4 linked regions of the Lepisosteus oculatus genome follow. The protein of the gene in region 4 interacts with the protein of the main gene of each other region in a biochemical or structural test. Links are inferred from orthologs where the notes say so. Each region holds a gene or a part of one and is shown on either strand. Other genes may lie near its edges.

What was found.
Region 1: the proteins of map3k5 (region 4) and calcium and integrin-binding protein 1 form a complex in vitro, tested with the Homo sapiens proteins (2 studies listed by BioGRID and IntAct). The link is inferred for Lepisosteus oculatus from reciprocal best matches to the Homo sapiens genes MAP3K5 and CIB1.
Region 2: the proteins of map3k5 (region 4) and txnb form a complex in vitro, tested with the Homo sapiens proteins (3 studies listed by BioGRID). The link is inferred for Lepisosteus oculatus from reciprocal best matches to the Homo sapiens genes MAP3K5 and TXN.
Region 3: of the proteins of map3k5 (region 4) and map2k4a, one has a biochemical effect on the other in vitro, tested with the Homo sapiens proteins (3 studies listed by BioGRID). The link is inferred for Lepisosteus oculatus from reciprocal best matches to the Homo sapiens genes MAP3K5 and MAP2K4.

Annotation. Positions count from the first base shown.
Region 1 is NC_090700.1:60,939,697-60,948,120, reverse strand, and holds the start of calcium and integrin-binding protein 1, read left to right. Parts: upstream 1-4,999; 5' UTR 5,000-5,110; coding exon 5,111-5,161; intron 5,162-6,487; coding exon 6,488-6,522; intron 6,523-7,218; coding exon 7,219-7,318; intron 7,319-7,754; coding exon 7,755-7,908; intron 7,909-8,296; coding exon 8,297-8,415; intron 8,416-8,424. Other genes in the region: gdpgp1 (GDP-D-glucose phosphorylase 1), read right to left, coding at 2,896-4,131. UniProt on the Homo sapiens protein: Calcium-binding protein that plays a role in the regulation of numerous cellular processes, such as cell differentiation, cell division, cell proliferation, cell migration, thrombosis, angiogenesis, cardiac hypertrophy and apoptosis.
Region 2 is NC_090696.1:72,010,129-72,017,719, reverse strand, and holds the start of txnb (thioredoxin b), read left to right. Parts: upstream 1-4,160; 5' UTR 4,161-4,266; coding exon 4,267-4,290; intron 4,291-6,940; coding exon 6,941-7,045; intron 7,046-7,591. UniProt on the Homo sapiens protein: Participates in various redox reactions through the reversible oxidation of its active center dithiol to a disulfide and catalyzes dithiol-disulfide exchange reactions.
Region 3 is NC_090704.1:37,383,322-37,390,709, reverse strand, and holds the start of map2k4a (dual specificity mitogen-activated protein kinase kinase 4a), read right to left. Parts: upstream 3,372-7,388; 5' UTR 3,105-3,371; coding exon 2,972-3,104; intron 2,088-2,971; coding exon 2,052-2,087; intron 1-2,051. Other genes in the region: tmem220 (transmembrane protein 220), read left to right, coding at 5,932-6,060, 6,473-6,502, 6,711-6,771, 6,883-7,006, 7,344-7,388. UniProt on the Homo sapiens protein: Dual specificity protein kinase which acts as an essential component of the MAP kinase signal transduction pathway. Essential component of the stress-activated protein kinase/c-Jun N-terminal kinase (SAP/JNK) signaling pathway.
Region 4 is NC_090697.1:4,797,481-4,805,239, forward strand, and holds the start of map3k5 (mitogen-activated protein kinase kinase kinase 5), read left to right. Parts: upstream 1-4,366; 5' UTR 4,367-4,453; intron 4,454-7,759. UniProt on the Homo sapiens protein: Serine/threonine kinase which acts as an essential component of the MAP kinase signal transduction pathway. Plays an important role in the cascades of cellular responses evoked by changes in the environment.

The sequences.
Region 1 (8,424 bases), on a different chromosome or scaffold from region 4:
CCTATAATCTGGTTAACCCACTGAAACTATGTGCTGTGTGACCAGACACATTAGGTTTAACAGCAGTTAAGATTTCTGCAGTCATATTTAATTGTTTTATATTAACACAGTGAAGCTCTGATTATTTATTGTTATGCACAGGTACACTTGTGTAGATCATTGTTTTAGAAGCATTTTCATTGTGTATTAAATACTCCAGGTAACGTGATCAGACTCTTGGGACATCTGAGGGCTCAGGAAGCGGAACTGTTTTGGTAGTGGAGCTAAGTGTTACTGCACACTGCCCCCTGGTGTCTTCCAGTGATGGAGCAAGGCAAAGGCGGGATGTTCCGGGGGCATTGTAAGGCCCTGGCCCAGAGTGAAGACTCCCTGCAGGCTAACCATGCCCACACCTCCTGGGTGAAAAAGAGGTTTCCTAAGCACCTTTAGGGGTTCTTGTGTAGCAGAATTATCTCACCGAATTGCTTGAGATGGCTGTTTACCTCTGACTATCTACAGCAGAGTACAAAGCCAAGTATCATCATCTACAATTTGGGCTATTTGGACTATCTGATGGGCTGATAACAGGAAAATAAGTGTACGGTTGTGTTGTGAGAATGTTACCAGCACAGCAGTCACCCTTGGCAGAACTGGGGGGTTTCATATCTGTAATTGCAACACACACCACTGGGGGATGGTTAACATTCTTTACTGTCTATCTTCTTTCACTCTGACCACAGGAATCATTTGAAAAGACTGCATGGAGTTTACTCTGCAGTAGGTTTGAATCACTCAGGTTTTAAAGATGAGTTGATCAAAAACTGAAATTGCTGTGCTCAGTGCGTACGGATGCCTTCATCTGTCCAGGTCTGTCTGTCTCTGTGCTTCAAGCCAGCAGGAGGATGTGACCAGGGAAAGCAGGTTGAGGAGAGAGGCCGAGTTCCTTGACCAGCAGTTACAGCAGGGTTACCAGGAGGAGGCGCTGTTTCTCAGGAGGACAATGGAGATCACTAAACAGCAATACCTAATGAGGTAGAGTCCTAAGTCAAGCTGAGCCTTGAAGGATTTGTAGGATTCTTACAATTGTTAAGGAGAAGTGGTGGAAGACTAAATAGTGGTATCTGGGCATGATTAAACCATGAAAAGCCTTCTGCTGCTGACTGATTTTGCATCCTCCATGGCAGGCTGCAGATGCTTGAGTCGGAGCTCAGTGTTGCAGAGCTGCAGCGAGACCGAGCGAGGAGGCGGAGCAGAGCTGCACGAGCAGAGTGGGAGGCTCTGCTGCAGGAGAACCGCTCCCTGATCACAACACTGCACCGAGTGCGAAAAACACTGGAGCAGACAGCGCAGCAGAGGCAGCAGGCAGCCCTGAAGAGCTGCGCGACGCCGGAACGGTACATAACCACCTGGAAATGAGTGCAGCAGCACAAACCTCAATGGCCAAGATCCCGATCCCCGCTTGAGCTCTCGGCCTGATCTCTTGCTCTCGGTTTTCGGTGCACTTCATTGTTAAGAGTTTGTCTGCTCACGGAACAGAAAAAAATAGATGCATGCAATTCTGTGTGACACGCTTAATAGTTCAATACAAATTTGTGTTGTGCTGTTAAAGTTTTCAGAGCAGCATGATGGCACAGTGTTTATCATTGTTATCTTGCAGTGTTGGGGCCCTGGGTTCAATTCCTGGGGTGTTATCTATGAGGAGTTTGTATGTTCTCCCTGTGCTTGTGTGGGTTACCTCCGGTTGCTCTGGTTTCCTCCCACAGTCAACAGACATGCTGGGTGGTTCGTTGACTTCTGGGAAAGTTTGACCTGGTGTGAGTGTGTGCCTTCGTGTTTGTGCCTGTGATGGACTGGCATTGTGCCCATTCATTTCTGGGATAGGGTCCAGCTCCCCTGCGACAACTGTACTGGATAAAGTGGTTAGAAAATGCAGCTATATGCATTATATCCTTCCTACAGTGCACAGAATCTCTGTTCCATGCTTCACAGCCACTAAATCCCTCAATTCTCCCTGCTGTCCGCACCCTCCTACAACGCTGTTAAAATTAATAACAAAAAAGCTATTCCTAATACTAAATGTAAAGTACTAAAGGCTCGTTGTCGCCCTCTGCTGGTGGCGTCGCTTTCCGGTTTTCCTGTTTATCTGAAATTAAAACGCAGTATCCAGATATGAATGATTTCGTAATATAACATATATTCTTAATATTCTTAAACAAAAGTATTCAGAGATCAGATAACGTCTGAAAAACAAACACTGACATTATACAGCAATTGCAACGACCTTTATCCAAGGCGACTGACTTAAAACAATCCTAAATTGTCACAACGAAGCATAACAACTTCAAAGCCAATTTTAACAATGTTACAGTAGTGCAATCAATGACAGTGCTTTTCAAACAAAGAAAAGAGGAAATTATTTTACACAAAGGGCTGTCACGAGTCCCGAACAAGCCACTCAGTCGTTCTGCTGAAGCTGACACCTCATCTCCTTTCAGAAAGAGCAGGATGAGATTCAGGGATGAATAAAGAGCTACTTGCAACCCAGCTATCTAAAAAGGTCGTTTGACCTCTTCCCGTTTATATGAAAAATATATGAAAAAAATATGATATATGCTAAAGTTAATCATATATCAACATAAACTACTGAACCGACTAGATGTGACGCAAGGTAGAGATTAAAGAGAGGAGCTGCAAAATATGACAGAAATCATAACCGCGTTTCAGGAATTCACAGTAAAACCAAGATGTCTCTGTTCTGATGTCAAGAACAGTGCTGATGACTGCAATTTTAAAAAAAAAATGTTAATGTTAACTAAATGTGCAATCGAATCGATTCACCTTCTCATTACTTTGATATTTACACGGGATTTACAGTACATACAGTATGGTCTAATTAATTGTATGACATTTTACTGTTTAATGGGGCTGATCGTTCAACAGATGCTTTAGCTCTGCTTGTAACGCAATGAATTTATTTTCAGGAAAGAGGTATTTCTCGATTATGCGTTTCACATCGTCCTCCTCGATCGTTTCAAAGTCCTCCTGGTTCTTAAATGGCAAATGTCCTGCAAGCTCACAGAGGGCCACGTTGAAGGCAGACTCCTCTTTCGCTCCGAAACAGGAGATCCGAGGCCACACGACTATACGGACACCGGGACGGGCCGAGTCCGGATGAGGATGATCCCCAGGCGGGCGGCCACGGGTTAGGAAGAGGTTGTGAGCGATGTTCCTTTCCACTAAACTGTCAGTGAGCTTACAGACGTATTCGACGGTTGCACGCAAACCCTCGCCGTCTGTGTAAAACATGAATCCGGCGGGAAATTCAGGAAGGAGATGAAAGCCCCTTTGAGGTATGAGTGGCTCGGTGCGGGCGGATTCAATGCGGAGCTCATGGTCCAGGTAGTAGCCGTGGAGGTGTAAATGGTTGACGGAGGCAAATGCGCCCAGGCTGTTAAATCCCACTCGAAAGCCCGGGTGAGAACTCAGTAGAACCGCCTCGATTCCGATCCGAACAGCGCCCGGAGTGAGAATCTGGGGCAGACACCGGCTCGGGTCGGGAATGAGCAAACAGTGGCCGACTTCCAGTGGGCTCACGTTAATCACGACTAGGCTGCGGGCGAGATCATCTGCGGTACCGTTCTGGTAAGAACATGTCTCCCCCTCTCTGGTTTCATCGCCTTCACTCGCGTCACACGCATCTCGCTTACACAATTCAAAAACGATCTCCCCTGGCTGTATTTTATTGAAGTGAAACTGTTTTGCGTCAAACCTCTGGGAGATGCTTAGTATCTCTTGCGGTTTCCTGCGTTCCTTGCCCCGTGAGATATTTAACTGAGCAACAAAGCGATGTGGACCAGGTAAAATCCGTGTCTGTAAATCCCCGAGGTGATATCGAAATAGCCCCTGGACCATCTTTTCAGTCCAAGCGGACCTTAGTGTTAAATCGAATTTAGACAGAAACTGTGAATGCTTGCATTTGTTGGAATCGCCCGGCCAACAGACATTGTGGACAAAATGTTTGTCACTGTACAGAAACTGGTGGATGTGAGTCATTTCCATTAAGCTGAACGTTTCAGTCTGGGTCCGAGCTCCACTCCCGAAACCTGCTCCGAGTTCCTGGACACCGGTAAACCAGGAACAGGGAGACGCCATCGTCCTATATTGATGACATCATTAATGCGTAAGTAAGTGGAGGACCCCATTGTGGATACCACTAAACCGCCTGAAGAAAAAGAGAAATCCTAAAAAGAATATTCGTTTTGAGAAAAACAAATCACTGGATAGTCTCGCAGATAATATCAGTTAGTCTAGGAACAGAGTTAAATAGGTGTGGGAAACCACTAGTTAGAAGCTAAAATAAGATATATATCTTATTACATAAATATAATTGTAAATAATTCAAAATGAAAGCACCGCATAAGTAATACTAATGAACATACCCAAATACGTTTGAATACATATTTAATTAACCCAAATACGTTTCAATACATATTGTAGCGTTTTCGAGTTCACGCAGGACAAAAGACAAGTGGAGACGAGATAGCGAGACAAGTGATTGCTTTACTTTCCCATTCAAACCAAACCCAAAAACAGGATTTACACACACACATAAGGGGACCGACGGAACACGTACACAGGTTGAGGGTGGTAACTCGTTATCAGAAGACTATACACTTACAAAGCTCCACAGGACGCTTAAACTAATATAACACTGTTTACATAAGCAGGGTCAGCTGCTGGTCATCGTGCTGACCCTCAGACTCCCCCCCCGCCTACAACTCCCAGCCTGCTTCGCGGTACCCGAGGGCGCTACAATATTAATAAAGATTTAAATATTTATCATAAAACACAATGACAAAAAATTGAGATATTACCAATATTAACGATGTTATGTACAGTAGCAAAAATATGTATCAAAATTCTTCAGATAGGGTCATACAAATACGCACAGTTTTGGCAGAGGCCTCACACAACTTCGTGCGACGGCTTCTTTTGTAAATCCGTTTCTACGGCAACTGTTACGTCATTGCAGGAAGAGGAAGTGGAGAAAGTTTAGCAAAACTTCTATATTCGATTTCGACGTGAAAAAAGTTGGGTCTGAACTTTTATTTGATTTTAGTTTGAGCAAACTATGGGGACATCAGCGAGCAAATTACCAAAAGACTTACTGTCAGAATATCAGGTAACTGATCGAATTACATATTTATTTTAAAGGTTCTTGGAATAATATTAAGGGTTTGCTTTGTTGTGATAAAATAACGAGTTGATAGAGAATATATACTGAGGATCAAAATAGACTTATCACTCTATTTATGTAAGTATGGCTTTAGAAAAATAAATGTACGGATGTTGGATATTGCTTAAATGTTTACTATGTCATTTTGATTAACTGATCATTCATAACTAACCGTGATACACTCGAATGACTAACTTTTCATAAGATCTTAATCTTAACGTAATTAGTGATTGATCAGTCAATTGATAACGGAAAATGAGGTCATTTAACGTGTTGAATATAAGCAAGTGAATATGTTCAGCTTATCAAGAGTGTAAAGGCGTTCAAATGCCAGGATCTCACCTGCTGCCTATCTGCGGGCTCATCCAGCGTTCTAGCGAGACCCTGCACATCCTCATACTGCTCGTGTACCTTAGCACAAACATGCGTCCTGCCAGATGGGAATGTGACATTTATGCCGTGGATACTAGTTACTACTTTCCAGACCTGAATCCCATTCAACATTTGTCACATGAGCTGAGCTGGTACTGTGTGGCATCTAGGGCACAGAGACCAGTGTCTGAAATGTCTGACAGAGACCAGTTTTCAGACATTAAGAAAGAACTGGGGCAGAGTCAAAGAAAGGAGCACATTTAACCTGATCCATGGAATTGATCACAGACGTACACCTAGCATTGCTTCCAAAGATGGTCACTCCTGCTACTGTCCAGTCACTTTCACAGCTGACCCCATGTTGATGACAATTGTCAGTCAATATAATGCATTTACCTAAATTATATGTGTTCAATAAAACATCAGTGCACCTGCTACAAAAAATGTAATTTTCCTGATAATACCTTTGTGAGTTTGTCAATTACAAGTGATAGGTTATCTTTAATAACTTACAGTAAATAATGTGGTTATTATGCTGTTTCATTACCCATGTAACCCTTTATACATGACACTACAAATGTATCCATTGTTCATGAATATTGTTTCATAATGGCACATTAACAAGATTTTTACAGAAAGAAAAACTTGACTGTACACACATCAGAAATAAGTTTGATTCATGTTTTTTTAATACACTTGCTTTTGAAAGTATACCTTTTGCATTATTAAATAATTAATTTCTTCACATTTGAATTGATAACTGATTATAGATTAATAACTTAACACTAGAAAATGAATTAATAAAAATACATTTTAAACCCAAAGTAAACAATATATACTACTATAATTACTATATATATATATCTAATAAAAATAATTTGTTGATATTTTGCATTCCAGGAGCTGACATTTTTAACAAAGCAAGAAATTCTGCTGTAAGTACTTTCATTTTTGGAATTTTATTATCTTGCTGTAGTCCTGTTGGTGTAGACTAGATGATAATGTTATCTGAGGAGCAACTGTTACTTCCTGGTGAAAATGGACTTTGCTCTCTAGAACTCCAGGCTGAATTTCACCTGCACTTCAAGCACATTTATATAATTCAATATTGTCAGTCCCCAGCCTTAGACAGGGTGACTACAGGGTTCTGAACACATGAAAACGTACAAAGACAATGCTGTGTGATATTTGTTTAGAATTAGTAGATCCTAGATAGACACCTTTTCCTTCCGTGTTATTGTCAAATTCAAGCAATCGCCCATATTGCTTCCTAAAACCCCCAAAATACTAACCTTGTGAAAGTCTTTTATATAACCAGACCTCATTAACTTTGCTAGACTCACAGAAACTGGGTTCAATTCCTGTGGTGCTATCCACAGAGAGGTGTTAGTGGGGCCAGCAAGGGGCGCTCACCCTGCTGTCCATGTGGGTCCTAATGCCCCAGGAAAGTGACGGGGACACTATAGTGTAAACAGGCGCTGTCCATCGAATGAGACGTAAAAAACAAGGTCCTGACTCTCTGTGGTCATTAAAAATGCCTGTTATCCTTGATTGAAACAGACTCTGGATTTTTAAATGTGCAGTGTTTTCTACTTGGCTTCTACCTTCCTTTTTTTTCCATTTGTTTTCAGTGCCCACAGGAAATTCACCGAGCTCCTTTCCAGAGAAGAGAGGCAGTTTCCAAGTTCCAGGGTATCCATGGAAAAGATCCTTTCTCTACCAGAACTAAAGGTATTGTACTGCAAATCCCTTCAATGCCAGTATTGCGGATATTTTTTAAAGTTGGAAGTTCAGACATTCAACTTTAAATAACTTTTCTTGAGGTACACTTTGTATACTCACTGGTCTTAGATATTCACAGTACATAAGAAAAGGTGAAGTTCAGCTTGCACTCCAGTCTAATGTACTGTACCATGTAAGACACACCCTGCTGTCAGGAAAAGAGCTGGGGGGCTTTTCTGTCATGAAGCAGAACAAGTTCCGAATTGTCTCTTCTTCAGCTATTCTGCCTCGTACAAATAAATCTCTGATGCTTGTTGAATGCGGACTTTATTATACTTGGGAGATGCAATCATTTTGTCAAGCAGCCAAATGAACTAGATGGTCTGAATGAGCTCCTCTCCCCTGCAGCATTCTTTATGATTTTAATGTTTTTCTCCCTCACCAGTGTAATCCATTCCGGCAGAGGATCTGTCTTGTGTTCTCTACCTCAGAAAATAAAGATGGCAGCCTGTCATTTGAGGACTTCCTAGACCTCCTGAGTGCCTTCAGCGACTCAGCTACCCCCGAGATCAAATCACACTATGCCTTCCGGATTTTTGGTAAAAGCTTTTAGTAAATGCTGGTATATTAAATCAAAGGTATATTAAGACTTAAAGCTCTGAACAGCTGAAGTCAAAGCTTTTTTTTCCCAATTGTGAAGATCAAAAGTGCAAAAGTATTGCAGTTTGGTCAAATTGCAATTTAATAGAGCATTTAGTGGAGCCCTAAGAAAGGTAAGAATAGTTGGCACAGAAATGTATATCTAAAGTCTACTAGGTAAACGACTTTTACTACAGAAAGTAAAGTAGCATTTATATCTTTATTTTTATTCTCCCAACAGGAATACTAAACCGTGTTGTTGAGCAGGGACAATCAGATTCTTTTAAAACTCGCTGCAAGATTCAAGACACTGTTAATCTTTTTCTCTGTGTTTTTTTTATGGATCAGACTTCGACGATGATGGGACTCTGGATCGGGCTGACCTAGAGAAGCTGGTGAACTGCCTGACTGGAGACACAGATGAGACTCGTCTGAGCGCAGAGGAGATGAGACAGCTTATTTCCAATGTAAGTTGA
Region 2 (7,591 bases), on a different chromosome or scaffold from region 4:
TGCACTACGTCTATCGTATCTCGGGGCAACCCCTTTGTGAAGCTCGCCAATCACAGGCCAGGGAGAGGGAAGAGATAAAAGAGACAATCAGAGTAATACTATTCCACAAACACCTGCCGGTACTGGTGCACCTGTACTGTGGATAGCATTTTTGTTTTTGTTTTATCAGTGAATGTGCACATTCAGTGGGTACATCAGTGGGCAAATAACCATTTTCTTTTATCAATAAAATAGTATTAGAATTTCAGGGAGGCTTTTTTTTTCTGGCCGCTGTGTTCTGTGTGTACAGGCCAGTTCAGGGAAGGTGCCAAAGCAATCCCTGTCCCAATTCTTGGGAGAGACTCACCTCAGTGACACTTGGGTATTGAGGAAATAACGAATGGGAGATTTTTGACTGAGGGACACCTCTAAAAGGGTTACTCACCCCCAGCCTCAAAATCCAACTTTAGTAGACCATCTTTGGCACAAAGGTACACCTCTCTTAACCTCCTAGTGGATTCTGTTAGACAGGTTTGGAGTTTAAAACAAAGGTGCCAAAAACTGAGAAGAACAGAAAATAAAATAACTTATTAAACAATCATGCCTTCCGTAAGAAATGTGATTTATTTTTAATCTCTGGATTACTATCGATCACGTTGATGGACAATGTAACCTGAAACAAGTACAGGCTGTGCTTAAAAATAACTTGTATTAACAAAACAAAGTTAATATTTATGAACCCCAAGTCCCAGTCTGTCCACAAAAGAGACGAAAGGGAATCATGATTTCAGCAAGGGGGGTAAGGATGGCTGACACAGGGGATTCGTGATGAGACCATAGAATAAAGAACTGACGCCGAAAAAACACTGCGGAAATCTGAAACTTGAATAGGGGCGATGTCAGTCTATTCAGGCAGAGCAGCGTTTCAAGGTGTCCGATCCGCAGGTTACAAAACTGAAACACCCCACGCTACACGCTTGTGACCTTAGGGAGGAAAAACAAGACTAGGTAACACCTCTGATGGCTTTTGATTTAGGCAAACGTATTTAAGGACAGGGGCGAATCGCCGAGACCACCCTCTGATGCGACTCACTTTTCTTATTTAAATGCCCTTTTAAATTATTTTAATAATGCCTTATGCTGTGCATAAGAAAATACCTTCAAGGTTTCTAATGTTATCCTGATCTGCATCAGGTCCGTAAAGAGTTCAAAGGTACAAGACAGTGTATGTTTTGGGGATTTAATATTAAGAAGCGTTCAAAAAACTACAAATGCCATTGATTCCAATATCCATCAGTTATATGTTTAATGCCTCTTGTATACCCTTTCTGAGACGTCCTCTGAGTCCTGTTGTTTTGTTCTTAAGGCGTCTGTTTGCTTTCTCTGACAGACAACACTGCGTTACCAGGAAGCGCAGGCATATCTAATGAACCACTGACAGAAGGCTGCTCTCTCACATCGCCACTCTTGCTGTTAACCGCAATGTAACATAAACGCTAAATAGAAAGCGTACGTTTCATCTGGGAAAGGTGATTTTATCTGCGCCGTATTTTGTGAACGTCTTAGTTAATAAAAAATGACACCAAGCTGTACAATATGTGATGATGTCGGCGTGTACTGTGTCTGGAACAATTTTGTTTACATATTTACTTTCGCAAAGACGAACCCAAATCAAGACGGTCATGTTTATTCTAACTTACTTTTTTTTTTTCAGAATATATACCGTATATTTTAATAATACCACGGGATCGAGAATCCTGACTGATGTGTAGGGGAACACTGCCTGTTGTGAAAAGCTAAGAAGTATTTTTTTCAATCGTATACATACTCTTGAAGGCATTTTGGTGCCAAACGTCAGAGATTTCTGGAGGGTTATTGCCGGCCTATGTAAGATTAGAATCAGTGAGAAACCTGGAAAAATAAGCATCAGAGCACATCACTGATTCATTTATAGGTGTTTTGTAATTAATTTAAGATTCCGAGGTGATTTTTGTGGGTTTAAAGTGACCATCAGAGTTCTAATTATGAGGTGTTAACCCATTACAAATGACCAAAAAAGGTCTATGGAGGACGTGGTATTATAGCAGCAAATGTTCAGAATGCCAGTGTAATTTAAAATCTCATAACTTTTTCATTGACTGTCATACGGAATCCCTTCTGACATTACTTCCTCACCTAAAACGTAATAAATACTTGACATTATCCTCGTTCTCTTTTGCACCCCCACCTCTGCCACTTGGTCCCTCCTCACTCTGCACAAGGGTCCCAGCCTCCTTGTGCAGAGTGAGGACCCCTGGCCAAATATCCCATTGGCCCTTACCAATCATGGCCTCCTAATAATCCCCATCTCTGAACTGGCTTCATCACTCTGCTCTCCTCCCCAATGATAGCTGGTGTGTGGTGAGCGGTCTGGTGCACTATGGCTGCCGTCACATCATCCAGGTGGGGCTGCACATTGGTGGTGGTGGAGGGGAGACCCCATTACCTGTAAAGCGCTTTGAGTGGAGTGTCCAGGAAAGCACTATAGAAGTGTAAGCTATTATTATTATTATTATTATTGCCCTTTACCTTAACCTTTCAATACACTTAATTCTTGGGTGTTGTTATTCCTATTGACGTGACTAGACCGCTCAGATCATCCCACTTTTAGTGATGATGTAACGACCTTCCAGAGGTGTGGTCACATGTCCTCTATCAGTGATGGGAATTGGTTTGCCTGTAATGTTTTACTATGCCTGAGCATTGTGCTGACTCCTGATTTTCACCAGTCTTGGCATTCAACAGGTTAAATATGAAAAAAAAAAGATTTTGTTCTGTCTAGAAATGGGCCACCATCCCTTATTGTCTTCACACTTCCCACAGTGATCATGCAGTTTTTCCAGTTCCTTTAGCTCAGTGCATATTTCTGAAGGTGTGTCTCCCTTCCTGACACTTGGCATCTCCTCTGTCTGCTCATACAATACCTGCTTAACTAAAGGAGAACCTGTTGGTCAATGATATCCATATTACCACCTGTAATATCGTTCTCTTAAAAATAATCTACACGTACAATTTACCCTTTACACTTTAAAGAAGGAAGACAAAAATTGTCGTTTTTGTTAAAATGAAAAGAGCAGTTTGCTTCTTATCGCAGAATAATTTTATATTAAACTCAACCACTTTGCCCGTCATTTTTTCACGTAATTGATGAAATGAATTCCAGCAGCCGTAACGCTGATTAAAACCGGATTGGAACAGGCGGTGAGCGACCCTGCCTCGGATACAACGCACGCCTGTGCAGAAGGGGTCCCCGGCACAAGGACCGACGCTCCCTTTCGATATGTGAGCCAGTTCGCGAATGCACATACTGAAGCCGCGCAGGAAAAGAAGGAAAACTAACGAGAGGCGGTTAAAAAAAAAAAGAGTGTTAAAGAGAGAGAGAAATACATTTGACATCTATCCTCAACATATGCAAAGCCCGACCCGCTAGTCAGCAGAGAGCTCTCCCACAAGCCCCCGCGCCAGTCACGCAGACAGGCCGCTCTGATTTTGTTAAGTCACCATGAGTCTTGGGATGGCAAGGCGTTGGAAAACACCGTCCCAAAGCGCACACTTCCGCTACCATATCCCACCCGCCCTCTTAAAGAGACAGGACTCGCCGTCATTCATATAGTCGTACCGAGTTTGGGCTGGAATAAATAATAAAAAAGAAAACAGCCCGCGGCGAAGCGATTTCCATCCCGCTGGTGGGGGAGGCGAGGAGGACGTTTTGCGTCTCTCCGGCCTCATCTCAAACCTGAATGGCGACAGTAGTGGCGGGTTTGAGCGGGTGTGTGTGTATGTGTATGTGTGGTTGTGCAAACGTCAGCTGCACTATGGCGGCCCTGCCACGGACGAGGTGGGAAAAGAGAGCGTGTTTGTTTTTGGGTTGCAAAGACCCCCCATTCCCTCGCCCTCCTCGAATCATAGGGCTTATTCTTAACATGTCTGAAAAAGAAGCAGGATAAACAAATCGTTATTTTATCTGTGAAGCTTGCCCTTCTTGTCAGATAGTAAGTGGGTGGCTACCGGCTGGTCAGTGATTTCCCGGGCCGGACCCACCCTCTCTCTCCCCCGGGCCCGGCGCTGACTCATTGCGCCCGGCCTGGAGAGAGAGAGAGAGAGGGGTGGGGGCCGGGCTCTCCTTGGCTTATAAAGCAGCTCCCCGCACACACACACAAAAAACACACAGTCTCACTCGCACAGAGCCCGGACGCTGGGATAACAGCGGTGTTATACACTGTTAGTTTTTGTTTTCGTCCTGCCAAAATGGTTCTCGAAATCGAAGATAAGGTGAGGAGTCCACACGGTTGGGGTTTTTGTTTTTTTTGGGACGATCGCCGAATGCTTTTATTCCCAAATGGTGTCTAGTTGCATGCAGATTACCTTGAATTTGTGTGTGTGTGTGTGGAGGGGAATTTTCTGTAACAGATGCATTTAGACTTTGCGTTGTCATTGAAACCTCCTGAGCCGCCGATCGAGAAATATTGGATACATTTATTGCGCGAACAGGGTCTTGCGGTTTCAATGGCCAAGGAGTATGATCCGGCCAATGCGGTTATGTGAGGTGGCTCGGGAGAGGGGGGAAAAAATACAGTTGCACTTTAATCATCAGGTGCGTTTCTTCTAGGTTTTCTGTTCCGCAAATGGGATGGTGGAAGCTTATTTTTCTGTAAGGGTGCATATCGCTTCGAGATCAATTAAACACTTCCAGAAATAGTCCCTCCTGACTCGGCAGCGCGCCAGCCCCGCCGTCAGAGATCGCCATGTTTGACGTCTGCCTTTTGAAATTGCTATTGTAACTTTATATTTTATAAGTCGCACCCTTCGTCGTTCCTGTCTTCCACCCAGCGTGGTTTTTAAGAGTGCACGCTTTTTGTTGTTGTTTGTTTTAACCCGGTTCTCTTCGGTGACCTGTCATTTCATTCGTACCGCCGTGCAAGCCAATTTAAAAACGCTGGAAACTTTCGGCGTTATGAAATCTGGTAACATATGGGATACTACATGACAAAAGCTGATTGTTCTCTAGTATTATTTTCGTACATGAATGTGTTTGGGGGGGGGCGTAGAGTTCAGTACTGGTTTGTTTTACACACCCAGAAAATAACTCACGAATTGCAGATCTTTCTTGAGAGGCTGTGTAAGCCAGCGGCACCCACAACGTGTTTTGCAACAGCAAACCAGTTCACCGCTGAATAAAGAACAACGCGTCTTATCGGTTTGTCACAATTACCAATTTATGGCGCTGCACGGAATTTTATTTCCTCAATCTCCTTCTTTGGCGGAAAAAATATTCATCCTCTACTTAAAAAAAAAAGATCTGTCACTTGGCGCAGCGTGACGCGTGGATGTTTGAACTTCATTAACTGTAGTTGGGACCTCTCGCTGACCCCTGTATCCCCCAAGAGAGAGGGACATGTTGGAAACTGTAGCTACAGCCTTTCTGGTTTATTAACATTAACCCAGCTAAACGGGGAGGAGGAGAGAGTAGCGAAGGCAGTCTGTACTTGTTTTGCAAGTCGCGCAACAAAATAGGGTTCTGTCCCAGGAGGTTTTAAGATGCAGAAGCACCTCCAGGAGTACTAAAATTAACACCATTTTAAGATGTAGGAGGTGGGGAAACAGGTGGAGGAGGATTATTATTTTTTTTTTTAATGAAATTAAAAAAAAAAAGCCGTATCCACAATTGTAGAGAACACGTGGAGGCGAGCAGCTGGCTCACTGGGGCGGTGGTTCTGACGCCGAGTGGCGCGCTGGAGGACTCGGCCCGCTTGCGTTATCACTGCGCTTTAGCCGGTAGTAGAAATTAAGGCACACACCACCTTTTTTCAAATTAGACGATTCCCCCCTCCCCAAGTATGTCAACGCTTTAGGGAACGGTGTCAAAAGTTGTCCGCAAGCGTCACGTTTTAGGTCACTCGTGTTTTAATTTTTTTTTTTCCACGTTCTAAACTTTCAAAGCTGAATGTTTTCAAGGACCTTACTGTAGGGGTACTGGATTGGGTTAGGTTCAACAGGCAAAATGCAGTTTTATGTCGTTTAAACTACCTTCAAAATACTGAATTTGTTTCACTACTAATCAGAGAGTGGTGAAGGTTGACATTTGAAACCAGCATGTGTTTTTTTTTTTCCTCCACTGGTTCCTCCCATAGTCATGTCATGTGTTGTCATTTATCAAACTGCTTTATGCTATACTGTGTCGTGGGAAGCTGGAGCCTAGGCATATCCTGCCTTGCAAGCAACGAGCGCAAGGCAGGATATGCCCTGGACAAGGCACCAGTCCATCGCAGGGCAAGTGCAAGCCAATCGTAGATGGGGACAATTTGGAGGCCATGGTAAAGGCCGAGGGGGGAAATTTGGCCTGGACACCAGGATAACTCCCTACTCTTATCGAGAAATGCCCGGGGATCTTTAATGACCATTGAGAGTCGGGACCTTGGTTTATCGTCTCAGCCGAAAGACGGCACCCACTACAGTATAGTGTCCCCGCCACTATCCCGGGGCATTAGGACCTAGACAGACTGCAGGATGGGGGTGGGCCCCCCCCCCCCGCTGGTCCCACTAACACCATTTCCAGCAGCAACCATAGCTTCCCAGGAGGTCTCCCATCCAGGTACTGGCCAGGCTCAACCCTGCTGAGCTTCAGAGGGGTAGCCAGTTAAGAGCTGCAGGTTGATATGGGTGCTGGCTCCTCACTTAATGCGCTACTTAAATTTGTTAATTAGCAGCTTGTTAAACCATAATTTAAAATTGCACAAATACATTTAACAGGTAACCAGGCCACAGAGAGAATGTGCACTTGACATTGTTAAATTCAACATGTTGAAACCACTGAGGTGGTAGCCTCAAATCTTGCCTAATTTCGGAGTTTAAAAAAAAAATTTGTAGGAAAAACATGCCATCTTTAGCTAGTTCTCAACAGCCCCGTTCTTTAATTTTACAGACTGCTTTCGATCAAGCCCTGAAGGATGCTGGGAGCAAGCTTGTCGTAGTGGATTTTACAGCCATGTGGTGTGGACCATGCCAGACGATTGGACCGTTTTTTAAGGTGATTTTTCCTTTATTGCAGAAAAAGGGTTAAGAGACACCACTACCTCAGTATCCTTAACAGTGGTGGAGAGAACAAGGAAATGACAGTTTTTTTTTTGTTTTTTTTTTTACACTGCAGCTGGTTGAGTAAACGCAGGTTGTGATTTATGGTGTAGCCTAAAGTAATGGAGGATGTTGTCAAGGTGTTTGCACAATCAAGTCTTTCATTAGATGGGGCACACCTGGGCTTAATAGTGCATTCTGCAAGCACAGCTTGGAAACACAAACCGGGCTGACTCACGTCGGATGGAGGAAGTGGCGGCTTGAGATTTAGCTGACCTTAGACTGATGACGAACAGTTTCAGCTTGTGGGCTTTCTTTGCTTCTCCACAACATCTAAGGTGGTGTGGCAATTCGAAAGTCTGACCTGGTGTGCTGTATTTATGCAGTGGGCTGTATCCCGGTTTCCTAGCAACAGCTGGAAAAGCCTCATGTAGCTGCATGCTTAATTATCCATATTAATTAGTGCCTCTGGGAGGTAGTTGTTAAAGAGCAGCTCCAGAGA
Region 3 (7,388 bases), on a different chromosome or scaffold from region 4:
CAGCTGAGCTTTCACACTATTACAAAAGGAAGCCTTCATTGTGTTAATCACAAGAAATAAAGTAGCTTACACACGGCAACTGCAGAAATAACTAAGAAACAAATAAAGGTCTAAAATAAGTACATAAGAAAGGTTACAAATGAGAGGAGACTATCTGTCCCTCTTAGTACAGATAGCTACAGACAGCTAGTACTTAACTATCTGTAGATAGTAGTAGCTGGTAGCTAATTGATCCAAATGTCTTCCTTCTTTTAAAGGAAGCCAGGTTTATCAGCATCAAAAACATGGCTGCACAGCTCTAGTTCTAGACGTTATGTAAAGAAGTGCCTCCTATTCTTAGTTTTAAATGTACTTCCCTGCTTGTTTTCTTACAAGATTTTCACAAGACATTCAACGGGTCAAATGGCCAAATCCCAATAAACTCTCTGACAAATAAGGTGATTAAGCAATTATTCAACAGTCAAAGTAAGGTATGTCCATAATGGTCAGTCATGACTGATCATTTAATCAAACATTGTGAAAACATATTTAATATTCAAATCTATTTTGTGTTGGAAAAGAAAATAAAATAAAGAGTGACAAGCTTTTTTTCTGATGCCCACTATATGTACTGTCACTTCAAAGTCAGATGTGTATAGGCCTTATGATATGACGAGACTGAAGAAAATATACTGTATTTATGTACATGTGAAAGCTTAATCTAGTTTAATAGCACTGTCAATACTAATACAAGCTATTAATTAAAGCTGAGTAATAACAAAAACTTTAAAGCTTCATTCTACAGCTTTGCAGAAACTGTAGAATTTGTGTTTTGAACTACTGTGAAGTTAATTAAATCCAACATGGTTTTATTAAAATTCCCCATGAAAAGTACCTTAGCAGCTAAAGATCAAGCTGTTCCTTTCTTCACAATGGTCAAAAAGCCAACTTATAATGATAGTAGTGCTAGTAACTAATTGATACAAGGGCCTCACCATGGTGTATTTTGAAGAATAACACAGAATCAGCTTTGCTTATATGATGGGATAGCTTGTTACTAACACCTACTTCCAAAAACTCCTTTTATTCAACTTACCTCCTTTAAGCCTAGTTATTATTTTCAGTCCTCTACACCTGGACTGTATTTCCATCTCTGTTATCTGCAGTTCATCTACAGTAGGCTATCTTCAATGTGCTTGGACACCTAACCCATTCATGTGACTTTTAGCAGGATACAATTATGTAACTATGCCACACAGCTGCACAGCAATAATAAGGAACTGCTGCACTTTTAACAAGGCTTGTAATTCAGCAAACGCATGGCAATTGCAGAACTGTGCTCAAACTGCATTCTTCAATTTGATTTCTTGCAGCTCGGTAAGCTTTGGCAATACTCCTAAGGGATTCCAATCAATTCAAACTTAGTCAATAGCCAAAATATTAAGCTATGAAACAACAGCTTTTGCCAGCACCTTTTCCTTCAGTGCCATAAACTAAAAGTGAAAAACATACTGCCAACCCCTGACCTAATGGACACACAAAATGGGAGTAATCTATTAATACTGCATGCGTTGCACAGACATTTCTTTCACATAACAATATGGAAATTCAAGGTAAAAAGCATTCCAATGGACATAAATACTTTTTCACCAACTACTCTTATTTGAATAGGAATTTCCTGCATATTTTACCCATGTGCTGACTGTGCAAATATTGGCATTTCAATCACATATAAGTCCTACGGAAATTAATACTACACAATAAAAGTAGTTAATATATACGGCATGAACTAATAAAGAGTAGACTACTATTTCACTGGTATAAACTGATAAAAACAGTGGATACAGTATGTGTTCTTTTAAAAGCTTCAACATAAAATGCTTTCTTTCCTTAGTATTTAATACAAAAGGGCTTTTATCACAACAGAGATGCATTAGTAACATCCCCAAGCACTGCAGCCACATTGAGATGTTTATTTTGTGTCTGACAGCACGGCACTTAAAAACACATTTTACTTCTCAGTTCATAAAACATTACTACAGTACATTCCTATAAAATAGATAATAAAGTACCTGTTTCATTCTGACACCTCCAGCACGTGTTGGTCTCTGCAAGGTTTAAATGAAACATTTTATTCCTTGTATAATGCAACAATGTGTTATTAATCATGACTGTATTCATCTCGCCTACATGATTATCATGGCGCATTAGTTCATAAAATCTTCTGGCCATCGAATGTACACAAAGGAAGGGAAATCTGCAACATTTTTTTCTACAGTGCCCATTTTATTAAATATTTTATTGGCTGGAGATTTAAAGAAATTGCTACAGTAATCCACAAAGCGTTTGTACAGCTTCAGAGTTCGATTTTTTTATTTAATTTGCGGCGTAACATTAGTACTAAAACCATTATTAAACAACCTGTAGCAAGAATAAGCACTGCATAGTAGTCTTCAATAGCATAGGTATATGTGAACCAGGCTACTTACTGCACGTGAGGCCTTGAAATATCAAAAATAACACAACACAAGAAATGACAAAGCTCATTTAATTGAGCAGGTCACTGCAGCTTTCTAGCGGTATCCCTGAGTTTAACCTTTCACATTTGCAATGTAAAAAAATGGAACTGAATTTTAAAAGAAATGAAAAATATAATTTAAAAATCCGTATAAAACTAGACTATTTAGGCCTTTGGCCATAAAAATCATTCAGTGAAAACCGCCCCATAGAAATCCAGATCTGTAAAGTGATTTAACACGATGTCTAACACGTCTCGCTCTCGCAATCTTCTGGATTTTAGAAATGCCACGGAGAGGTAAATTAAAAGCTTCCTAAACATAGAGGCCTACAAACAGTGGCGATAAGGAAATGCAAACTGCATCGCTACGGTGCAGCATTACTAGAGTACACAGTGAGACTTTCACCAATCATGTTCTCCAATTATTCTGATAAAATAAAAACGTTTACGGACTTTTTGTTTTCTGGCGCTTACCCTGCATGCTGCTCACTGTTGTTATGTGCTGAGACTGGGACTGGTGCTGATGTGATGTAGATGTAGATCCTGCGTTATTGCTGTTGTTGCTGGAAGAGGTTGTTGAGTTGGTGCTGGGGCTGGGAGTCGCCATTGTTGTGTTTGATTCCAGCAGCAGCACTGAGGCTGCAATGCAGTGAGTGGCTTCACCCTTCACAGGCAGGGACACCTAGCTACAGAACTCAATATAGCACTACACCGCTTCAGTCTAAAACCCTTCAAAGTCTCGCAGGACACCTAGCTACGAAACTCAACATAGCAGAATACAATTTATATAATAAACTACTATTCAGTTTTGAACCATTGAGCAATCACGAGACAACTAGCTTGAGAAACCAGCACTACACAATACAGTACTCGGTTGAAGTACTCTATGTGACCAGCCCGTCAATTTCCGCCTACGTAGTCTGACAGCGCCTCAAAATCCACAATAAAGCAATAAAGTCTGATAAAGTCCGAGTATTTCCCATTCCACAGTAATCACCAGACCACTCCTAGTGCTATAAATGAAAGCCCTGAATTAAAAGGAGCCAAGACACACAAGGCATAACATTTGCGGTGCGAGTTGTAGTTAGTCCCACTTTATAAATAGTAAAGCCGTTGTTCAATCTAAGTTACATATTTTCAAATTATGCAAGGATTTGGTTATACTCTCCTCCCCCACCCAGAAATGGCAGTACTGCAACCTAATATGATTTTAGTGCTGAATGTAGAATAATTACTTGGAGATTTTCGTATACAAAAATTAAATACTACCTTTATCCCCTTACGTTTGACATAAATCAAAGCAGCTATAATAGCTGCAATAAAAACAAAATAACTGGACTGCTATAAATAGTAGCCGTTTGGGGGTTGGGGTCCCTGTAGTTGTTTATTCCTTTTGGGGATTTGGGGATTTTAGGTTGTGTCAGAGTGGGATTACAGGATGTCAATTCAGACTGAACAGGCAAGTGTGTGAATGTGGAGTGTGACTACAGTAGGACCTGCAGTGCTAAGTAGTGGTTAGTATCTGTGAGTTACAGCAGCTGTAAGAACTTTCATTTATTTTCAACATGTCCACATTATCATTATTGAACTGTAGTTTGACCTTCTGTCTCAGGAGGTCCTGAAGCAGAAGGGAATTGGAGACTAGGAGACAGGAGAGATAGAAACACAAATGCCATGTTGTAAAAAGGAGTACTCTCCGGGTCATTGTAAATACAAATTTGTTCTCTAAATTCTATAAAGTATTGATGAGTAGTGGAGTAGTGTGTGTAGTGGAGAATATGTGTCCCTTTATTAGGGCGGTGCAGTGGCTCTGTGGTTAAGGATCTGCGCCTGTGGCTAGAAGGTTGCCGGTTTGTATCCTTCAGCCTGCAGAAAAATCCTACCCCATTGGGCCCCTAAGCAAGGCCCTTAACCCCAACTGCTCCAGGGTCACTGTAAAAATGGCTGACCCTGCACTCTGACCCCAAGCCTCTCTCCCTGTCTGTATGTCTCACGGAGAGCAAGTTGGGGTATATTGAAAAGACAAATTCCTAATACAAGAAATTGTATATGGCCAATATATGATCTTATATTTCTTACTGCAGCATTATTGACTAGAAAAGCCTTTATAGAAGTGTACTGTAGTATGTCTACATATCCATAAATAGCGTACCAAGAGGCCATATTGCCTAGGTAAAGATGTGTATATGTAAATATATATTAATAATGCCTGTATCCCTATATGTCTATGGCGTGATGTTTTGGCTCTTGCATGACTCTTCTGAGAGGAGAATGCTCATAACTGTGTTCAGTAGGTGTGGTTGCTTATGACCGTCAGTGTGAGATTGCCCACACTGTCACATCACCACAGTCCTTGGGGTATAAGGGCCCCTTTTAGAGAGAGAGAGAGAGAGAGAGAGAGAGAGAGAGAGAGAGAGTTAATGCAGTTAGTGTCAGTCTGTGGGGCCGTGTGTTGGTGCCATCAATTGTCTGAGCTGCCTCTTTCAGATAAATAAAAAGCACACCACCCTTTTGGAGCTGCAGTCTGAGTCAGAAGATATCCTTTATCTTCAGGGCTTGCATAGATGCTGAGCAGTGTTACAATAATGTTAGTGGTGTCAGAGTGGGATTACAGGATGAAAATTCAAAGTGAACAGGCAAGTCAGTAGAAGGGCAATAAAAGCGAAGCACAGGACCACCAGTGTCTTCCAGGAGCCAGCTGACAGAAAACAGACTCCCGATACAGGAGGAAGATGTAACTGGGGAGCAAAGAAAGACTCCAGGCAGCAGAAAATTCATACAGAGATGAAAGGCACTAGGCAGGCCCCTCGACCCTGCTGGTGTGGAGGAGAGATGGAGGAAGAACTCCTGCATCACCTCCAGACCTCCTTGCGGCATGGGAATAGATCAGGAAGGTGGAAGACTGGCTGCAACAGTCAGCTTTTTAAATGGCTGAGTGGACCTGCGTAGGCACAGTTCACTTTTATGATGGCAGTGAGCAAGACCTGGCTCATTGTCCGGATCACTGAGGTTTTATGTCTGCCAGGGTAACATGGTAGTATGGCAGGTGCATGACCAACTAGTATAACTGGAGAACAGTTACAATAACAGCAACACAACAGCATTTTAATATTCTTTATTGTTCCTCTAAAGACATATGTCCAGATCTTTTCTTCTGTACCTCGATAAATATGCATTTATTTAAATGTTTGTTAACAGTAGATAACAACAGTTTACTACAGTATTCTCACAAGATCTACCAAAATTTTCAACTTTGTGCTTTCGCTTAATGCACAATGCACAATGCACAGTACAATACTATTCATTTGTGCTCTGTAACTAAGCTAATGGAACTATAATTCCCAAACTGCATTGCAAATGTCCATGTGATCTGACTCAAACTCAATAATGGCAGTTTCTTTTCTCTGAGCAAAGTACTGAAGAAAATAAGTAAAATGAGCAAGAAATACGAATTAACAAAAAACGGAAAAACAAAAAGCGGGTCTTCGGAGTGTTTTCAAGTATTATGGAGAAGCTGCAATTTATGTATGTTTTTTTTCTTTGCTTTAGCGGCATATGTGCAGGCAAGTACCGTACTAAAGACAAATGTGACTGGTTTTGGAAATTAAAGTGCAGTTGTTTTTATATATTTGTTTAAACTCTTTTATATCTTTATGGGTGTCTGTATGCTGTTTATATTAATAAATAGTACTGAGGCTGGTTACATACATTCTAATGTTTTAGAATTTAGAAGTCATAAGCACATATATTTCAACACTGTCATACTTAAGGAATTCGATGTCATCGTTCTGAATGCATTTTATGTATTTTGAGCAATATGCGGTATGGATAACTCAACATCCAAAAACGTATTGTTTCTCTCATGGCATAAACGTTTTTTGTTTTAAAAAACACTTTTAAAACTATTTTTTATCATTGTTGCTCTTTCAAACTAGACAGAAAATAAATAAATTTAATTATTTTTGATTATTCCAGATCAATGACCCCGATGCTGGCATATGGATGGTGAGTCCTAAACAGTACACCGTAGTACGAAGTATAAAACTGAATTCTTCACTTCAGAGAAAGCATACGAACTCTACCAGTGCGTATCTTCAAATGCATCTTGAATGGCCTCTGAAAAACATCGAGCGACACCTGCTGGCTGTATTTGTAAAATGTGACTGTTTTTATTTCCTGACTTCCAATATTATAAATGCGTTTGTATTTACAGGTTGCATATTCAATCCCAGCTTCTTTGTGTTTTCTGATAAGCCTTAAGCCTCCAATTACAGGTATGACTCTATCCTGATATCTGTTTTTATGTCATGAAAGCTGATCCAGTCCCTCCTATGTTATGTAGCTCAGTAACTTTGCAAAATCAAGATGAATGTGTTGTTTTTCAGAGGTATTAATCTGGAGGAGACTATCTGATCTTCATATGCTTATTTGTGCTGCTGTAGCTGCCATGTTGGGATGGTCCTTGTATAAAAGTAAAGCTGAAAATATCTTCCAGAAAGAAGAAGGAAGGTAATTGTCACTTTTCTATCCATAGGTAAACTCTGGCTTAGGTTTGAGCAATTAATATTAAAGACTGATTTTATAATTAATTCCTTAGTTTTATTTAGTAAATCCTAATGGATTGGCATCTGTTCTGAAAACACAACTATCAAGAAAATATAATTAAACATGTCAGTTATATTGGTCAAGAAAAAAAAGAATTGAATGTAATCTTAAGTACAGTTATATACACCATTGATGTAATCACCCTTTACTTTTATTTTTGGAAGTATTGTTACACTTCACTTGGTTTTAATCTCTCTCACCTTAGTTGATCACTGTATCATTTTTTTTGCTGTTCTCTAAGAGAGTTCTCTGGATTATTATTAATCGTGGTATGGCTGATCCTGTG
Region 4 (7,759 bases):
CACTCAGCCTGCTGTCCAAATGAGCACCAGGGGTTAATCCTTCCAGGGGTAGCAGGCTGGTCGGAGCGTGATCCTGACCACATCACCCCCACCTCCAGTGTCGGGTGGTTGAGGAAAATGGTGGCCCTTGCCTATGTAGTTTGCAAGGCTCCAGTGTCTCAGTAGAGAAGGTGTTTCTTGCTGATTAAAGTATAGTAGAAAGATGGTATAAAGGGTTACACTACAGATGGTGTCCAAGCAGAAAACAACATGTTTGTCTCATGTCATGAGACCTGGAGTGGTGCAGAGGAATACACCTATTCTGGCCTTCCCGGTATTGATAGAAGGTGGAAGAGCTGATCTGAAAGGTGGAAGAGGATTCAAGGGACTGTGAACCTAGGGGCTCTGTCAGATGAGCAGGCTTCACCGGTGCACCCTGGAGCTCGGAGGATGTCTGCCTGCAGGGGCACAACACTCAGATGGGCAAGTGTTAAGATGATTCACTGATTCAGAGTTGTGGTTTGTAGGTTGGTATCCACCACACTAATGTTTAAGTGCTTTCTTCTCTTTCATCTACTTTACACTAAGCATGTCATTTTAATATTCCTGTAACTTACACCCACAGCAGAGTTTCAGAAAGAAGTGATGTACAGTGCCTTGCGAAAGTATTCGGCCCCCTTGAACTTTTCAACCTTTTGCCACATTTCAGGCTTCAAACATAAAGATATAAATTTTTTATTTTATGTGAAGAATCACCAACAAGTGGGACACAATTGTGAAGTGGAACGAAATCTATTGGATTTTTGAAACTTTTTTAACTAATAAAAAAATGAAAAGTGGGGCGTGCAAAATTATTCGGCCCCTTTACTTTCAGTGCAGCAAACTCACTCCAGAAGTTCAGCGAGGATCTCTGAATGATCCAATGTTGTCCTAAATGACTGATGGTGATAAATAGAATCCACCTGTGTGTAATCAAGTCTCTGTATAAATGCACCTGCTCTGTGATAGTCTCAAGGTTCTGTTGAAAGCGCAGAGAGCATCATGAAGACCAAGGAACACACCAGGCAGGTCCGTAATACTGTTGTGGAGAAGTTTAAAGCTGGATTTGGATACAAAAAGATTTCCCAAGCTTCAAACATCCCAAGGAGCACTGTGCAAGCGATCATCTTGAAATGGAAGGAGTATCAGACCACTGCAAATCTACCAAGACCTGGCCGTCCCTCTAAACTTTCAGCTCAGACAAGGAGAAGACTGATCAGAGATGCAGCCAAGAGGCCCATGATCACTCTGGATGAACTGCAGAGAACTACAGCTGAGGTGGGAGAGTCTGTCCATAGGACAACAATCAGTCTTACACTGCACAAATCTGGCCTTTATGGAAGAGTGGCAAGAAGAAAGCCATTTCTCAAAGATATCCATAAAAAGTCTCGTCTAAAGTTTGCCACAAGCCACCTGGGAGACACCCCAAACATGTGGAAGAAGGTGCTCTGGTCAGATGAAACCAAAATCGAACTTTTTGGCCACAATGCAAAACGATATGTTTGGCGTAAAAGCAACACAGCTCATCACCCTCAACACACCATCCCCACTGTCAAACATGGTGGTGGCAGCATCATGGTTTGGGCCTGCTTTTCTTCAGCAGGGACAGGGAAGATGGTTAAAATTGAGGGGAAGATGGATGCAGCCAAATACAGGACCATTCTGGATGAAAACCTGTTGGAGTCTGCAAAAGACCTGAAACTGGGACGGAGATTTATCTTCCAACAAGACAATGATCCCAAACATACAGCAAAATGTTCAAAGGAATGGTTCACAAATAAACGTATCCAGGTGTTTGAATGGCCAAGTCAAAGTCCAGACCTGAATCCAATCGAGAATCTGTGGAAAGAGCTGAAAACTGCTGTTCACAAACGCTCTCCATCCAACCTCACTGAGCTCGAGCTGTTTTGCAAGGAAGAATGGGCAAGAATTTCAGTCTCTCGATGTGCAAAACTGATAGAGACATACCCCAAGCGACTTGCAGCTGTAATCGCAGCAAAAGGTGGCTCTACAAAGTATTAACGCAAGGGGGCCGAATAATTTTGCACGCCCCACTTTTCATTTTTTTATTAGTTAAAAAAGTTTCAAAAATCCAATAGATTTCGTTCCACTTCACAATTGTGTCCCACTTGTTGGTGATTCTTCACATAAAATAAAAAATGTATATCTTTATGTTTGAAGCCTGAAATGTGGCAAAAGGTTGAAAAGTTCAAGGGGGCCGAATACTTTCGCAAGGCACTGTATGTTAGAGCCCATCACTCTACGTCCTTTGGAGTTTTAACTTCAGTGCTAAGATATCTGGGCTAAATCCAATCATATGTGGCAATTCTACTGTGAAGCAGCATTAAGAAATTATACATTAAAACATGATGGTTATTGTTACAGTAAATCTCCTTGCTTTTTTTTTTTATCCATGACTGCCCCCTGGTGTACAGTCAAAAACGGGGCGTAGTCCCCAAGACCTGCTCAATGAATATACATCCGTGTGCTTTCTGATATTTCATCTTTCCTAACCGCAGGCGTAAGAAAATCCCTTGAATCAAGACTAAAACCATGAACAAAATTAAATTTAATTTCCGTATCCTAGAAACTTATTTGAAACTTCTAGAGTTAACTTATCTAGGGAAAACAAGGCTGTAATTTGTGAAACCCTATACATAACTGTAGCAACTTTCAAATATTCAGAGTAGCACCAGCAGCCAAGAAGCTTTAACCACCAGAGGCATGTATCATCAGAGAGGTCTGTTAATGAGTACCCTGGGGGCAGTATTGTGAGCAAAATCAATTTACTAGGAAAAGGGCAGGAGCACAAATAGACTTTAGATGGCAAAAGCAGTAAATAGAAATGGTACTGATACCTCTACATTCTTTTTTTATATGACAGAAATATTGTTTGGGAATGTTCCTCAGAAGATAAAATGGTATTCTAACAAAGTAGTTAAACTGGACATTAAAAGAAAGTTCAGAGTAACAGTAGTTCCCAGCTATGCACTGTTGTGGATGGTATAATGCAGTTGTCATCAACAACACGCAGAATAGGCGTGTATTTTCAAGTGCCTGTCCAGAGATGACAAAATCTGTCTTTTTTTCTGTCTTCATAATAGTCAATGAATTTCTGTGAAGCATTTTGTATGTGGAGTTAAATCCCTGTGTCTTATGTAAAGTGAAAAGGGAAAAACTGCTGGACAATTGCAAATACTGTTGTTATGACCAGAATTTGTAATCCATTGAAATTATTATTCCTCTTGATTTACACATTATACAAAGTGTCAAACCTTTTGCAACAATTACAGCTTCTTCGGTATGTCTGTATCAGCTTTGCACATCAGGATCCGGGGATTTTCACCCTCTTTTTTCTGGAGATGTGCTCAACCTCTGTTAAGTTGGATGGAGAGCATTGGTGAACCACAATCATCCACAGATTGTCAGTGGGATTGAACTCTGGGCTTTGCCTGGGCCACCTGTGGACGTTCACCTTCTTGTTCTGAAGTCACACCAGTGTCTCTTAGGCTGTGTGCTTGGGGTTGTTGTTTTGCTAGAATGTGACTCTTTTCCCCAGTCTGGGGTCTTTTATTGACTGTAGCAGAATCTCCTAAAAGATTTCCCTGTATTTGGCTCCAATAATTGTTTCCCCTATCCTGACAAGAGCCCCTGTCTCTGCCACTGATAAACTTCCCCATAAGATGATGCTGCCACCGCCATCTGTCATGGCAGGGAGAGTGTTACCTGACTGTGCCCCTGAGAACTTTCAACACCCGAGATGTGTTTTAATATTCATCCCCAGATCTCTGCCTCCTCATAATTCACAGAGGTGTACAGACAGCTCCTTGGTAGAGTTCCTGCTCTGACACACGCTGTCTACTGGAGGAGTGCTTCTTCAGAAATCATGTCACCTAATTGACCTGACTACAGGAACCCCATTCAGATTTCAGAGCGATCTCGCAAGTAAAGAAAAGTACATGCAGCAGGTCTCAATTTGGAGGGTCACAGCAAAAAGAGAGAACACTTATCAAATTAGGACATTTCAGTGCTTCCTTTTAAATTCCATGTACGATATGCTCAGAACTTTCATTCCACTGTGACATTACAGTTTGTATACTGTAGATCCATATCAATAAATCCCATATAAATGTATTTCTAGCTGTGTTTTGTTGCAGGCGACTGTCACATGCTTGAATCAGCCACCTTCCTCTACATCATTATACCATTCTGCAGCATGTCTTAAACTACAACACGTGGGCTTACTTATCTAAGACCCCATGACCTGTGTGGTTATCTAAAACCTACCACACCCCATGGCTTTTACAGGATTTATGTGGTAAGCTTGTTTTTATGTTTCGCCATTGCACTTTAGGTTAATATTGCATTATCGTATAGCCTATGCTGAACAGCATAGCAAGTCCCAGTTCCAGTTCTTTCTTTTGGGAAGTTACAGGTAAAGACGTTTTCATCCTTAGTATACCTTTAATGTCGTTGGATGTTAAATTGTTGAACCTAGAAGAATTTGTCATTTGTAGTTGATGAATAACATGAATAACATAAGGCAACTTATTTTGCAGTGTGAGTTGAATATCGTTTAGTTTATTTTGTATAACTTTTTAATGCTCTTTTTTCTAGCAGAGAACAGCGTGTCGAAAGCAGTGGTAATATCGATAAGCATACATTGTCCTTTGGTTGACACCATCGAGAAGATCTGTACAGATCGTGCACATCTGTCACAGAGTCACGTTCTGTACAGGCATTTACAGAATGTCACAGGTCATTTAAAAATGCGTAGACAGCATGTCTTCGTACTGGGGAGCAAACAGGAGCACTCAGAAAAAACCCACACAGCCACAGGGAGGACATACAAACTGTAGTCAGAATAAAACGGGTTTGATGTAAACAGTAGGTGCACTGACATTGTTCTTCCTGCTTTTCATCAGGGAATCAGCCTTTACTGTACATGTGTGATTAATGCTTAGCATCGCAGTTCTTTAAAATAATGGTATTAATGCATATATTTCATATATACATTAAAAATGTTCCACCTTTTATGTAAAAGGTGAAAGGAGATAAGAGAGAAAAATAAGTTGCTTATACACAGGTAATCGGGGGATTTGTTATAATAATAATAATAGTTGGAAGAAGAAGAATTGCTTACACTTACATAGCACTTTTCTGGACACTCCACTCAAAGCTCAAAGCTCTTTCCAAGCAATGGGGATCCCCTCCACCCACACCAGTGTGCAGCCCCACCCAGATGATGAGAGGGCAGATTAAAGATAAATGTTATTGTCCCCTAGGGGAAACGTTTTATGGACACGCATTGCTTCTATACATCTGAATACATTTCAAAACATATCATATCTATTGCACATGGGTAACTTATTACAAAAATGTCACAACATATTACACATACATAGGTTGTTACAGAATAACAACAGTTTATACTGAAACAATTGCATTTGCCATCGCCATTTATTTGTATTAACTGCTTTAATAGCTAAGTGAACAAATGAATATTTGTGTCTATTTGTGGCCATGAAATGTTTTCCAGAGGGAAGAAGTTGATATTCAGGATTTAAAAATATGAAAAGGATTTGCTAGAATTTTTCATTATGATTTGATTCAATTTTGATTTGATTCTGCCGGTTTGATTATGAGTTGTTCAAAAGTTGTCTGCAAGGAGGAGAGCTGTTTCACTCCCATAACCTTCATTGCTCTTTGGGCAAGACGGGTGATTTTTTATCCTAATTGGACTGATAAATTACCAAACCACACACTTACACCATATCTAAAAAAGGCACTCAAGAGGGGCTTTTTTTCTGTCCAACTCCAAGCACTCTTAATCTTTGCAAAAAAAATACAAATGTTGCTGTACTCTGGAGCAAAAACTAGTCTGACTTGGACTGAGTAGTCTAGCTCAGGTTGTTGTTTATGTATATCCCTAAACACTTACTGTACATGAACTTACCTACTGTAGGTACTAGGTTCCTCATGAATCACTACATTGGAAGAGTTAACAGCATTCGGATCGTAAACCATTTCTTTAGTTTTTTTCACATTCAAAGTTAGCTTTGGTTAGTCACACCCTCACACAAACCTATGCATATGCTCCTCTGTTTGAGATCAGCGGAGGTGCCGTGGTCGCCATCTTGTCCACAGTGTTTGTCTTGAGTGTAGTGGGGAACATCTCTGTGCTGCTGGTGTTGGCTACCATGAGGAACCGCAGAAGCTGCCTTGATGTCTGCCTGCTGAACTTGGCTGCCAGTGACCTGCTCTCCTCTCTGTCCCTGCCCATCATGGCCTTTGCTGTGGATTTTTGGAGACTTTCTGTGCAAAGCCGTCTCCGTACTGCGGGATCTGAAAGAGTACACTGCAAGCCCACTTTTACTCTTCATCCATGCCGGCATCATCAAGCCAATGAACAGAGTGGCTCTCTGCTTCATGGCCTGGCTGGTCAGGACCTTTCTTGCTTCACCAGCTGCACTTTTCCACAAAGTCTCCATGTCATCGAACGAGTCTCTCGTCTGCCATGAACACGACCACCCTGCAGGCCTGGAAGCACTCTGGCTTCCCTTCCACATGTTCAGATATGCAGTCGGTTCGGCTGTCCCTCTGCTGCTCCTCCTCATCTGGGCAGCATCACGCAGCCACTCCGCAACCAGCAGTCAAAACACTAGGAAAGAGAAACACGTCGTCTTTTTGGTGACGCTGGGATTTATTATGTTTCGGAGTCCATATAATATTTGTGCCTTTATTAAAACTTTAATAGAAGCAGAAATATTGGATAAGACATGTAAGATCTGGCAAGAGATTATGACTGCTTCTAACATCACCATGATACTCAGCTTATCACACTGCTGTATCAACCCTGTCCTTTATGTCTCATCCTGGAGGAAATTCAGAGAACACTTCCTTAAGATTATTACAAAACAGCCCAAGGGCCATGTCACTGCTGTTTCATAACTTAACATCATAATGGCTGGTGTCAGGAGCATTTATCACTTAATAACTGTATCTTGCTCTCCTTAGAATTACTCCTTTGACAATTTAGACCTTTTGCCTTTACTGGTATTTTTGTCAGACTGCAAGAAAAAAAAAGTATTCTTTTATTGTGGGTAGAAAAGTGATGTGAAATATATTTTTTAAAAAATCTAACATCAAATTGAAATAGTGAGCAATTAAAGGGCTTCAATAAAAAAATAAGAAGAATAGAGCTATAAAACCTTTGTAGATAGTAGGTACTAGTCTTTTATTTTGCAAATAAATATTTAGTATTTTCGTTTGACATATAAATAAAATGTTAGCTTGCATAAATAATAACCAATAACTATACTGAATAAGCATTAGTGGTTAATTTATATCAATAACACAGTAAGAACTGTAATCTTTATAATATGATATAAGATATGTAGTCCAATTTTACAGAACAAATCTTGACTTCCAATTTGGCAATTAAATATCTAAATTGTGTGGAATCCCACAGCTGATGTATATATTGTACTCTATATAACATTGGATTAATGAAATATATAATTGCACATTAATATTCCACACAGGACATTTGGAAACTAAATACTAAACATGAAAGTGTGATAAACCTAATTACACATGATAAGATTTTTTGTAATTAAACATTTACTACATACATTCCACAAGGGAGTGTTTTCACATTTACATTGAAGATCAAATAAACCAGATCAAAGAAGCGTGGTCAATAACTGTTTAGTGTAAAATTAAAATGGAAAAAAAGACT